3 linked regions of the Sus scrofa genome follow. The protein of the gene in region 3 interacts with the protein of the main gene of each other region in a biochemical or structural test. Links are inferred from orthologs where the notes say so. Each region holds a gene or a part of one and is shown on either strand. Other genes may lie near its edges.

Region 1 (4,009 bases), on a different chromosome or scaffold from region 3:
CCAACCAAGGCCCAGAGGGTGAGCAGGCGCCTAGGAGGTGCACTTCAATCGTTTGCCTTAGTTTTTATTCACTTTCCAGCCATCTGATTGATACTGCCAACATCTCTGCAACATACAAATGAATCTTTTATCAACCAGAATACAGATGGACGGAATTCTTTCCCCATCCCTACACCCTGTGGAACTAAAGAACAAAACAAAACAAAACAAAACAAACAAACAAAAAAAGAAACACAAAACAAACAAAAATAAACCCCTCCCATCCCCCATCCCCTAAGCCAGTAAAGCGATGACAACAGCACCTTGACATTGTTTTAATTCCAACGCTATCAGAAGTTAAAAGCAGTAAAACAGAGTACCAACAAGAACAAAGATACTTACTGTCTAAAATGTAAACGGAATGTTTTGGTTCAAATTTTTGTTAGGCTTTTTTTTTTTTTCTTTCGCTTTTTTTTTATGTCTGTTTTCTGTAAGAGGACAGTTTGTTATCAATTCACAATTAAAGCAGCATGCAATTTATTAGTAGTATTTTTTAAACTTTTTTTTTCTTTAACGTTTTTCAATTCTTGGCAACGGCAACAAACCACAACATTATCGAGGAATGTAATGCAGACTTTTTTTTTAAAGTTGTGCGCAAAAAATGACTGTTTCCCTCTGGTCATGGAAATGTCCAATAAATAGATTGTAGAACCACTGTACTGTATAAACTTCATTTATACATGCAGTTCATAAAATTATTTTTTTTCTTAACTGAATAATTTACCCTGTTATGTATATATACAAATAGATAATTTTTGTCTCAATATAATCTATACAACATAAAGCCACTATCTTCCCCTCTTAATGGTCAAAGTACATACACAGGAAGTGTCTATCCTTATGAACCGCCAGCCAATTCGCTTTTTGCTATCCATGGTGAGGGCCCGCACATACGACTGGGTAGTTCGGCACTGGGAGTTCCAGTGCCTCTTGTCTATGCCCCTGCAGCCCTCCTTTGTGTACCCCATAGGATTGCACTTGGTCTCGTAGAAGTACTGCTTCAGTTGGCCTTTCGAGACGGGGACTTTTTCGAGGACCGTGACCGTGCCACCCGACATGTCCACTGCCGTCTTTTTATCCGCCGCCGTCACCCACTCGCTAATGCTGTCGCACACGCTCAGCTCCCCGCGGCGGGCGGGGTCCGAGTGGCGCCGGACCCTCATGGACATGTTTGCAGCATCCAGGTAATTTTTGTATTCCTCCAGCAGAAAGAGAAGAGGAGGCTCCAAAGGCACTTGACTGCTGAGCATGACTCGGGACGTATACATGTCCGCGTCCTTATTGTTTTCCTCATTGGGCCGAACTTTCTGGTCCTCGTCCAACAGCTCCTCGATCACGTGTTCAAAAGTGTCCGCCAACGACGACGATGACGACGATGTCAGGCCTCTTGAACCTGCCTTGGGCCCATTCACGCTCTCCAGAGTCCCATGGGTCCGCACACCTGGGTAGGCCAAGCTGCCTTGTCCTCGGACGTTGGCTTCTTTCATGGGGGCAGCCTTCATGCAACCGAAGTATGAAATAACCATAGTAAGGAAAAGGATGGTCATCACTCTTCTCACCTGGTGGAACTGTAGGGAGAAAGCAGAAACAGGACACAAGACTGTTTAGGGCTTGCTTGCTTGCTTTCCCAAGGGGACGAGGCAGCCCTCTGACTGCAGTTCCAGGCCATTCTGCAGGGTCAAGGTTTCTGACGCATTGGTGAGAAACTCCAGCTGCACCAGACACAGGTTAATGTCAGTAGTGTGCTAGATGGGCTTTAACATAAACCAGAGACGTGCAGCCTTGGCCCCAAGCTCTAGCGTATAAGCCCGAGATCAGATGGCTCCTGAGCAAGTGGAAAAAAAAACTGCGGCTTCAACTTTGCCTCCTTCCGCCCACTTGAGCAGCTTTGTAAGTTTAATTTTTAATGCTCTCTGCTCAGGCTGTCACAGGAAACGCAACATCAGAAATGTTACCAAGCATCAAGGGTAATAGTAATTCTTCAAGTCGGCAACATGGCCCAATGGCAGGTACGTGTGGAGGGAACAGCGGTGGCCTGTGGGGTCTGAAGTGGGCCTTTCTAGCTACAGGCTATCTAGGTGTGAACAGTACAATAAAACAGAAGTCAGGGAGTTGCATGGTGCCTTCCCATTGACCTTTTTTCCTCCCAGAGAGACACTCTATTGCAACAAAGGAGAAAGATGATTTCATTAAGCATCCTGGTTTGTCAGTAAGGAAACCAAAGGCCATGGAGGACTTGCCTCCTGTCATGAAGAAAGTTCCTGTTAGGATCAGGGCTCCCAATTCCAGCTCCAGTGTTTTTTCTACTACACCTGGGTGGTTATCGTGACAGTAAGTTTTGCTTATTTCCAAACAGAAATCATTTTCCACACGTTGGTTTTAATGATGTGTCCATGCCTGGGGCTGATACCATGAAAGCAACGTGTTTGCTTAAGAAAGAATTGGAGAGGACAGCATCAAAAACCTGGGGAGGCAATTTCAAATGCCTGCCATATGGGCATTGGTGGTTAACTCCACTAACTCTAGGCCTCTTGGCCCTGGCTCAAACACAAACCCATCTAGGAGAGCTCTGCCTCTCTTTTTATTGGACTGTGACCTGTGTGCACGTGTGTGTGGGCTCTGCGTTGATCGTACCTTGAAAAAGCTGAATGGCACTGTGCACATTTTGGTACAGGCAGCTGGCGCTTCTTTCTGGGCTTTTGAAGTTTTCTGGGAAGTCCCTTAACAGCACACCACAAAATTAATCTTCTCCTGTTTGCCAGAGGGAATCTCTACACTAAATTTGGCTCTTTGTCTACAAGCATGCTGTGGGAAGCCAATTCGAAGGAATGAACAGGAAAGATGAAAACATACCTACAGACCCACACAAGGTTACTGCTGGATGGTGAAGGACTTCAGAAGCACTTACCTGAGGCATCACGTCCCTGAGGAGTAAAGGGGAGCATTCCCTGCCCCAACACTAACTTTATTCCTACCGCTCAGTCCTAGGCAAGGACTAAACAAAAAACCACGTGCGTGCCAGAGCTGTTATGCTGTACCAACCAGCAGGAAAGGGGACTGTCTTCCTGTCCACGAAGTGTCACCCGCCAGGAAGGGAACCTACCTGCAGTCAGGAGGTCTTACTGCAGAAAGGGCTGAAACTCTGGGAGCAAGACCCCCGTTTTCCTCTCCACTTTTATCAGAGATCACATTTTCTCCCACTACGGGACTTGATTACTGCCCCCAAACACCAGCCAATTTCCTTCTGGATTCACGCTTACTTGGCACAAACAGCAAGCATGTGCAGAACTGCTTGGAGCATACAGTCTGAGATGAGGAAGGTTTGAGATGAGGAAGCGCACGCTGGTGTGAATAAAACAGATATAACACAGATATCCATTCTGCCAACACCTGAACTTTTGCGAAGGGTTTGGATTCTTCACCATCAAAGAAATGGATCCTCCAAGGATGTTTCTCTTCCTGGCAGGCAGTATTTACACCACTGACAGAAAACCCTTTCTCCTAGTGTTTCCCGTCCAAATTAAAACAACCCAAGGGGCACCTCAAATGCAAGTCGGTGAAAAGCAGCAAATTTAGAATATTTTACTCTAGGATTTTACATCATGCTGGTAAGAGAGTTGCTGTGATCAGCTATCTTTTAATATCACATTTCATGAAATCTATGATACCATCCTTATAAAGCACACCATTTTATGCACCACTAAGATTTTTTAAAATGCAGCCTGTTAAACTATTGCTTTCTTTAATCACTTAGAACTGGAAAGAATTCTTTTAGACTTATTTGAACATATTTTTTCAGATGTAACTTTTGTGCACGTGTAAAAAAGAAAATTAAGCAAAGAAAATTGGTTAAGGCAATGACAACTGTGATGTAACTGTCTAGCCAATGACAATAAAATAACATCATTTTAAGATGTTCCAGATACAAGTCAATTTCAGAAATGTTAAAAAAAAAAGAGTAAGAAAACAT
Region 2 (3,474 bases), about 5.4 Mb from region 3:
CATGAAATCAGATCTACCGTGACAGGCCCCATGAGATGATTTTGTTACAACTCTTGCAGAGCGCTTTTCAGCCAAAAGCAGACCTCCCCCTAAAAAGCGAGCCAGCCTCACAGGTCTTCAGTGCGAGTCTCCTCCTGTCTATCTAGTGAGCCGGATAGATAGGACCCAGCCTGGGCTTCTCTGAGGTTGGGGGCAGCCCTGTGCCCAGCAGGGATCTGCCTTCTGATGAAGCTCCACAAACTTCCCCAGTGAGGCAATCAAGGCTGAAGAATCTAGGCTGTGGGGCAGGTAATCCAAGGATTAGGTAGCTTTGGCTCTGGAATGCGGAGCAAAGTTGCAGTCCCACAGACTTCCCTTCCCTTCCTAATCACGCCGGGCTTAGGCTAATATCGGAGCCTGGTTAGCCTTCCCTGAAGTGGCAGGGCTGGCTGCGGGCGCCGGGAGGGTGAGGGCTCCAGGAGGGCCTGAGAGGGAGCCGGGCCTGCTGTGGACCCGTCTCCCTGCAGCTTCCGTCCCAAGACTGGCAGATGGTCATGCTGGGCAAAATGAGGGAGGGCTGGCACACAGGCTGCTTCCAAAAATTTAATAAATAATGATTTTTAAAACTGTATAAACTATAAATTACCATGCAGTCCTTATAATTTAAAATAATTTACAGGCTGAGGTAGGGAGGGGCGCAGGAGAGTGTGGGTGGGGAGCTGGGGGAGGTGGGGGCTGGCTTGCAGGTCAGGCTCTTCTCCCCGCCTTCCTGCTGAGCACGCACACGCAGGCCGTGTCGATTCGGATAAACCGCCAGGCAGCCTGCTTGCCGTCCATGGTCAGCGCCTTGACAAAGGTGTGGGTTGTGGTACAATACGAGTTCCAGTGCTTTGAGTCGATGCCCCGGCACCCGCTGTCCACGGGATTGGGGTCCCGGCACTTGGTCTCAAAAAAGTACTGTTTAAACACGCTGTTGTTGATATTCACCTCTCCCAACACCATCACCTCCTTGCCCTTGATGTCCGTGGCAGTGGTCTTGTCCCCCACCCACACGCTGACGCTGTCGCACACCGAGAACTCCCCCCGGTGGAAAACGGGGTGGGATGACGACCGCTTGCTCCTGTGAGTCCTGTTGAAGGAGGCGGCGCCGCTGGCCTCCAAGTCCGGATCCTGAGTGTCTGCGGCCACAGGCGGGGGCTGGGTGCTAAACAGCACTCGGGGTGAACGCAGTCGCCGCTTTTTAAAAAGTTTGGGGTCCACAGTGATGTTGCGGGTCTGCCCTGCCACCCTGGCGGCTATCGCCCCAGCCGGGGCACTGTGGGCTCTGCGGAGGGCTGTGTCAAGGGAATGCTGAAGTTTAGTCCAGTGGGCTTGGGGGATGGCGTGTCCTGCTGGGACATTGCTCTCGGTGTGCGGTTCTGCCTGTACGCCGATCAGAAGAGCTGTGATCAGAGTGTAGAACAACATGGACATTACGCTATGCACCTGGAATGACACAGAAATGAGGGTTATTCCATGGAGCGCTGCAGGTTGGGCAGAGGTAGTTTCTGGGTTCCTCGGAGTTGCCCTCCCAAGAGGATGACGAGGAGGCTTCTCCTGGTGGTGAAGGGCAAGGGGACCGGGAATTGACCATTCAAACCAGGACACTTCTGAGAGTGAAAGGTACTGCTACAACAGTTGCACTGGGACACCAGGCTTAAATAGGGCTGGCTCAGACAACCTGTTTGTCCGGGCTCAGACTCCATATAGGGGGTGGGCCTTTCCGGGAAGGGACAGAGCCCCTGAAATTCTGCCCCATAGTGTGGTATGAGTTCAGCAGTGCTGTTTACAGAACCCCTTGTGTTCTCTACCTGCCAGCAAGGCAGCCGTGGTCAGGTGATAAGTGTGCACAAGTGTGCACCGGGCTGGCTGGAGGGCAGTTTGATACCTCCCAGCAGTGTCCTGCCCAACAGCTTGGGAAGGGAGAGGGCAGGCTGCTGGGGACTTGTCTTGAAGCCTCAGCACTGAAAACACCCTCTTCAGACAGCAGCACTGGGCCAGCTCTGAGATCTGGTGACTGAAAATCCACAAAGCACTGTTTGGCCAAAACAGTGTACGGCTCTGGGATCACCTCTAGCCAGTCCATCTATTCAGCCACTCGTGTGCACATATAGATGCAGTACTGATAATGGTTCCTCTTTGCGGGGGTGATGTTTTCAAACACGCTCACTTCTAGTTTCTTGTTAGTCTGGGAGTTAGGTTAGGGTTTATCATCTCTCAATCGCAAATAAGAAAAGTGAGCCACAGAAAATTAACTAAGGGCCTATAGTCGCAAAACTTGGACCAAAAATAGAATCCAAACTTGACCCCTCACTAAGCCAGTCACCCTTCCATCCTTCCTTCCTTACCCCTCTTTCTCTTTCATTTTTAAGTGTGTCTTTTAAAAAAATTATTTAATCTTCTTAGATGAGAATGGGTCAAATGGCATAAATCATCTGTCCCCACAAGGCAGCACAAGCCCCTCTTGAGCATGTGCCAGACAGGGCTCTGCACTGCACTGTACTTGCCCACTAGTGTCCACCTCCAGGTCAACTAGCTGTGAAGTTAGCTCTGTTCTTGAGCTCACTTCCGGTGAGCTCCTGTGTACACCTGTGCACATCTATCACATGTCACCCCCTCTAGGAAGTTTCCCCGATCTTCCTGGTAGGGTTAGAGGTGTCCCCTAGAGAGGGTGTTAAACTTCTGATTTGATCCCTCCCCATTTCTCTCCCCACAGATCATTCTGCTCCCTGCCTACTCTTCTGGGCTGGCATGGGTACCACTGTCTCCTTGAGACCTTCTCAGATCACCCCAGCCACACTTTAGAAGTGTGTGTGTGTGTGTGTGTGTGTGTGTGTGTGTGTGTGTTCTCTCCACTAAATCAGTGTAATGAAAAGAACCCTGCACTGGATCTGGGGTTAAGAAACCTTCTTTGGATACCTAACCCCTCAACGTGTTAGCAGAGGAAAGTCACTTCATCTTCCTGAGCACTGATTTCCCCATGGAAAAAGCAGGCAATAAACACTCTTTCACAGGGTTGTTGTTAGGATTGAATAGGTGCTCACATACCTATTTCATTCCAATGTCCTGTGGTCAGGACTTTGCTTTTTTCAGTTATTGCCACTCATTCACTCCTGGAGTGCACTCCAGCCATGTCTCTTCAGAGCACATAGTTTTATGTCTGTCAGGCTTCTTTTCAAGCCTAACGAATCATGCTTGTCTCCCCACTTGCCACAAGGTCCCAGAGGTCAGAGCCTGTCTCATCCACCTGCCCAGCTAGTCACTCCACCCTTTGTCTTCCCTGACGCTTTGTGCACAACCCTGTTACTTCTCCTCGTGCTATGAATAGTCATTTAATGCGTCTCTGTCCCTGAGAGCACTTCAGAAGCGGTGCCTTTTGAATTTACCTATTTCTGGGGCCATTTGCAGTGCCAGGCTGGTAGTAAGTCCTCAAAATCGGAGAATGAATAAGATTGT
Region 3 (4,172 bases):
CCCAAGAAATGGCAAAAAGACAAAAAAAAAAAAAAAAAAGAAAAAAGAAAAAAAGAAGAAGTTTAGTTAAACACCAACATATTCTCACACGCCACATAAGCCACAGAAATAGGTCTAGATTTGCTAAAGCCTTTTGAGGCTCTTCGTTCTCCAGTTGAATTATCTCGTCTTTCTACCTTGGCACCCCGAGTATCTAGCACATCTTGGACATCTGGAGGGCACCCAGGTACACTGACTACATGAAGTAAGGTGGCTTGACATGCACAGCGAGTTCTAACAGAGAAGAAGAGAAGCAAGAACTTTTCATTTTTTGGGGAATTGAATCCTGTCATTTTATGAAAAACTACTCTAAAAGGCGTTTTCCCAGCTTACAAAAGTATACACTATGTCTAATACAAAGTCATGCTGATATTTTTATTTCACAGTTTATAAAGGATCCCCCAACACTGGATCTCTTCAATAGAGTTCAGGATGATTTATTACGGCTTCTAAAAACATAGAGTGGAAAAGCAGAACCGACTACAACATAAAAATTCTTGGTTAAGGGGGTGCACCACTAAGAACTGCTTTATTCAACCATTTCTAAGATGAAGACTGTTGATAGTGGCTTCACTTTTTCCACATATACATGCTACAAAAAAGATGGAATCTCTGAGGAAACCATGGATGATTAAGAAATGCAAAAGCAATTCTTTTAAATGAGGTCACTGAAAGAAGGCTAAAAAAATAAGTTTAAAAAAAATCACTGGAAACAGCAGCTAAATAAAATGAAAGAAAAAGAGGGAAGACTTTTTTTTTTTTTAACATATGGACTTCAAAGAATGAGGTTTCATTCAGATCTGCTCTTGAGTGGATTTGTTCTAAGAACCTACTTGAGCCATTTTTTTTTCAACTTCTAGAAATTAATGCATTACAAATGACATATCAATTCAAACCAAACAGGGAAGACTCTGACTAAAGGAATAAATCCAGGAGTAGCAGCAGGTCCTAAAGGTAGGTCAGCTAGCAAGAGAAGAATCTGAAATGTGGAGTAGGAATGCTGTGTCCAGCTGGCTCAAGGAAGGAAATGGTCTCATTATAAATGAGGCGCTAGTGTTATAAAGCCTTTCTCAACTCCCCACTGAGATGGAAGTCTGTAAGTTTTTTTTTATTGTCAAACAGGAAGACTTCTCAGTTCTCATTCCACTCTGTGTGCACCCAAACTGTCCCACACGTCAGCACTAGCTTGGCCACTTTTATGCAGCTGCTGCTTGGACTGCATTTAGCAAGAGTTATCCCTGACAGCTTGTGCTTTGACTGCAACTGCCCTGGGTCCCCAGACCAGAGAATTCTGCACAGGTAATAAGTATAATCCAGGCAGAGGGAGAAAGACAGTTCAAGGGGGGATTTGGCTATTACAGCATGTGGTTCTAAAAGGACAAGTGCAGTTAACCACTCACTTCTGTCCCCATGTGCAACTCTCCTTGAAAGAGGAAGGAAGGAGGGATGGATAGAAGAGAGAAAATATATTCAATTGTAAATATATTACGCAAATGTGGGTAGCAATTAAATCGCTAGTTCTAGGAAGAAAAAAAAAAAAAATGAGGAAGACGCCCAAGGTGCAAGGAGCCAGGACATAGCCAACAACTGGCTTTGTCAACCAGTAGTACTATGCAAAGGTTGAGCTGCTTATCCCCAGAGACAGAACTGCCATAATTTTTAAAGTTTTCGACGAGGACCTAACTCAAAGCAGAATATCTGCAACGTGTTAAGTGTTGGAAATCTTGTTACAATGGGATACAGTCCAATGCCATGACAGAAGGTCAAATCGAAGGCGTAAGAGAGATCATATACGTACTATCAACCCCACTGCCAAGCTTGTTCCTTTAGCCGTTAAAACACACAGTAATCTAATAACTGCTCTGGGATTACTGAACACCCGCCTACCCACCCAGAAAGTACTGACCCGGCGAAGACACACCTTTGCTTCTGCGTAGCCCAACTTCTCCAAGCACTTAAGAGGTAATTACTCCTCCAGCTTCCTGGTGGGGTATAGCGTTACTGGATCCTAATTATTTATACAGACGGAAAACAACGACGCTCGAGAGATTTTGACAATTAAACAGAAAAATAAAAGTAAAAAAAAAATTAAAAAAAAAAAGAATCCCGTGAAAGTCAAAGCCTGCCTCCCCTGTGACGAAACATGCTCGGCCGCGGCATCTGAGGGCAGCTCCCCGGGCCCAACTCGGCCCGCCCGCCGGCCAGCCGCAGTTTCGGGGCTGCGGCCGGGGGAGCGCGGGCCAGCGGGGCTGGCGAGCAGCCGGGGTCTCCTCCGCGGGGACGCGAGGCGCACGGACAAGACAGAGGGCCGGGCTGCGCTGGCGGGGCGGGCGGCCGCCAGGGGCCCGGGGGCAGCACCTCACAGTCCGGGCGGTGCCCCGGCCCGGCGCCCGCTCACCTGGTGTGTGTTGTTGGCCAGCCTGGCGACGAAGTCCCGGACCCCGCCGCAGTCCTCGTCCTCATCGAGCGCGCTGCGGCGCCAACGGCCGCCGCGGGGAACCGGGCCCCCAGGCGCGGCCGCGCGCAGCCCCCAGCTCACCCCGACGGGGCCGGACCAGCGCGACAGCGGCGCAGCGGGCGGCGGCGGCGCGTCCAGCCGGTCCTGGCCGAGGCTTGCCGGCGGCAGCAGCTGGAGGAGGAGGAGGAGAAGGAGGCCGAGGCCGTGGGGCCAGCGCGAGAGGCCCTGCGCAGCTCCCCGGGGCCGCTCCATCGCCGCCGAATGCCGACGCCGTCGACACCTGCCGCCCGGCGCGCCCGCCCACCCCCGCCGGCGCCGCCCACCTTCCCCCCCCTTGCTGGAGCCGGCGCTCCCTGGATACGCCAAGCCAGACCTCTCCGCCCATAGGCTGGCCGCCTGTCTTTCTTCCCCGGTCCACTGCTGATTGGCTCGCGGCGCCTCCTGCTTAGGGGGTCCTGGATTCGGATGCCAAGATGCGGGGCTGATTGGCTGGAACGTGGCAGAGACCGCTGAGGTCATCCCCCCATCGCCCGGCGTCTCCCAGGCCGGGCTTCCAGAGTTAGCATGGGGAGCTTCCCTCCTTCTCGAGAAGCCCCCAACTCCGTGGGGCCCCGACCCCTAGCTCCTCCCTCTGGCACCCTCAAGTTGGGGCTGAATTGGTCCCTTCTTCCCCAGAGACACCCTTAAAATTCCTTGGGTTGCTGCAGCGCCTGGAAAATCTCCTCAGGGAATCCCTGAGCTCGCTTAGCTGGAAATGGGGGCTCTGTCATTAACCGGTGCGTCTGGCTTTTAACCCTTGCAGGGTTGGAGTGCCCCATTTGTCTACAGTGAGTGAGAGCTGTGTGGGCTAAATCTCGCGGAGGCAGATAGACATTAGGACATCCGTGACTCATGCGAGCCCGAAGAAAATTCTCTCCTCACTCATCTTCCTCTTCTGCAGGGAGTTAACCAAAGGAGGAACTGCCTATTGGTTTTCCTGGAGTTAGAAAGTAGCTTAGACATAAGGGACAGGTAAAAGGGGGACAGAATTGCCCAGTGCCTAATTGAGAGATGATCATTGTATAGATGCGTATCTGTCTTTACCAAAGTGTTTTAACCCTGCAGTGAGTGCATTGCACAAGTTTGGTGTTCGGTATATGATGTCCCTTAAATTAGCATCCTGTCTCCAGTAAATAAAACAAAACCCCTACACTGTTCCGTTTATCGCAGGAAGGAGAGGCACATTATTCTGGAACACACAGTGGAAGTAAAACCAGTTTTAGATATCCTCCTTATTGACTCTTTGGAATGCTAGAAGTTGCTCAGTAGAAAAGGTAATAAGTAGGAAGATATGAAGTATACAAAATGTTACACCTAAATAAAGCAGCTAACAACTACTTTTAATTATAAACTGGAGGTAAATCCAAATGAGAATATATTCATTGTAGAGCAAAATGAATGGTGCAGGGCACCCAACCCAAGGCTTACATTAAAATCCTTCTGGTTGTGTTAATTTGCAACGACTTACATTTTTTACATTTATAAATTTACATTTTGTCAGAACAACCATAGCGAGAGGTGACAAGTTAAAGGTATTTTTAAATGGCATCTGAGCAGGATGGTAAAAATTGCTAGAATAGTCTTCCAAGTTCTCAGCTACTGAACTGACAAAGCTCCATGAAAACTGGGGAACAAT

The links. The genes of interacting proteins can lie anywhere in the genome.
Region 1: the proteins of SORT1 (region 3) and BDNF form a complex in vitro, tested with the Homo sapiens proteins (2 studies listed by BioGRID and IntAct, with this or other methods). The link is inferred for Sus scrofa from reciprocal best matches to the Homo sapiens genes SORT1 and BDNF.
Region 2: the proteins of SORT1 (region 3) and NGF form a complex in vitro, tested with the Homo sapiens proteins (3 studies listed by BioGRID and IntAct, with this or other methods). The link is inferred for Sus scrofa from reciprocal best matches to the Homo sapiens genes SORT1 and NGF.

The regions. Positions count from the first base shown.
Region 1 is NC_010444.4:32,675,583-32,679,591, reverse strand, and holds the end of BDNF (brain-derived neurotrophic factor precursor), read right to left. Parts: intron 1,608-4,009; coding exon of another isoform or gene 1,587-1,607; coding exon 828-1,586; 3' UTR 570-827; downstream 1-569. UniProt on the Homo sapiens protein: Important signaling molecule that activates signaling cascades downstream of NTRK2. During development, promotes the survival and differentiation of selected neuronal populations of the peripheral and central nervous systems.
Region 2 is NC_010446.5:105,304,939-105,308,412, reverse strand, and holds the end of NGF (beta-nerve growth factor), read right to left. Parts: intron 1,465-3,474; 5' UTR 1,453-1,464; coding exon 727-1,452; 3' UTR 570-726; downstream 1-569. UniProt on the Homo sapiens protein: Nerve growth factor is important for the development and maintenance of the sympathetic and sensory nervous systems.
Region 3 is NC_010446.5:110,719,791-110,723,962, reverse strand, and holds the start of SORT1 (sortilin), read right to left. Parts: upstream 2,819-4,172; 5' UTR 2,750-2,818; coding exon 2,438-2,749; intron 1-2,437.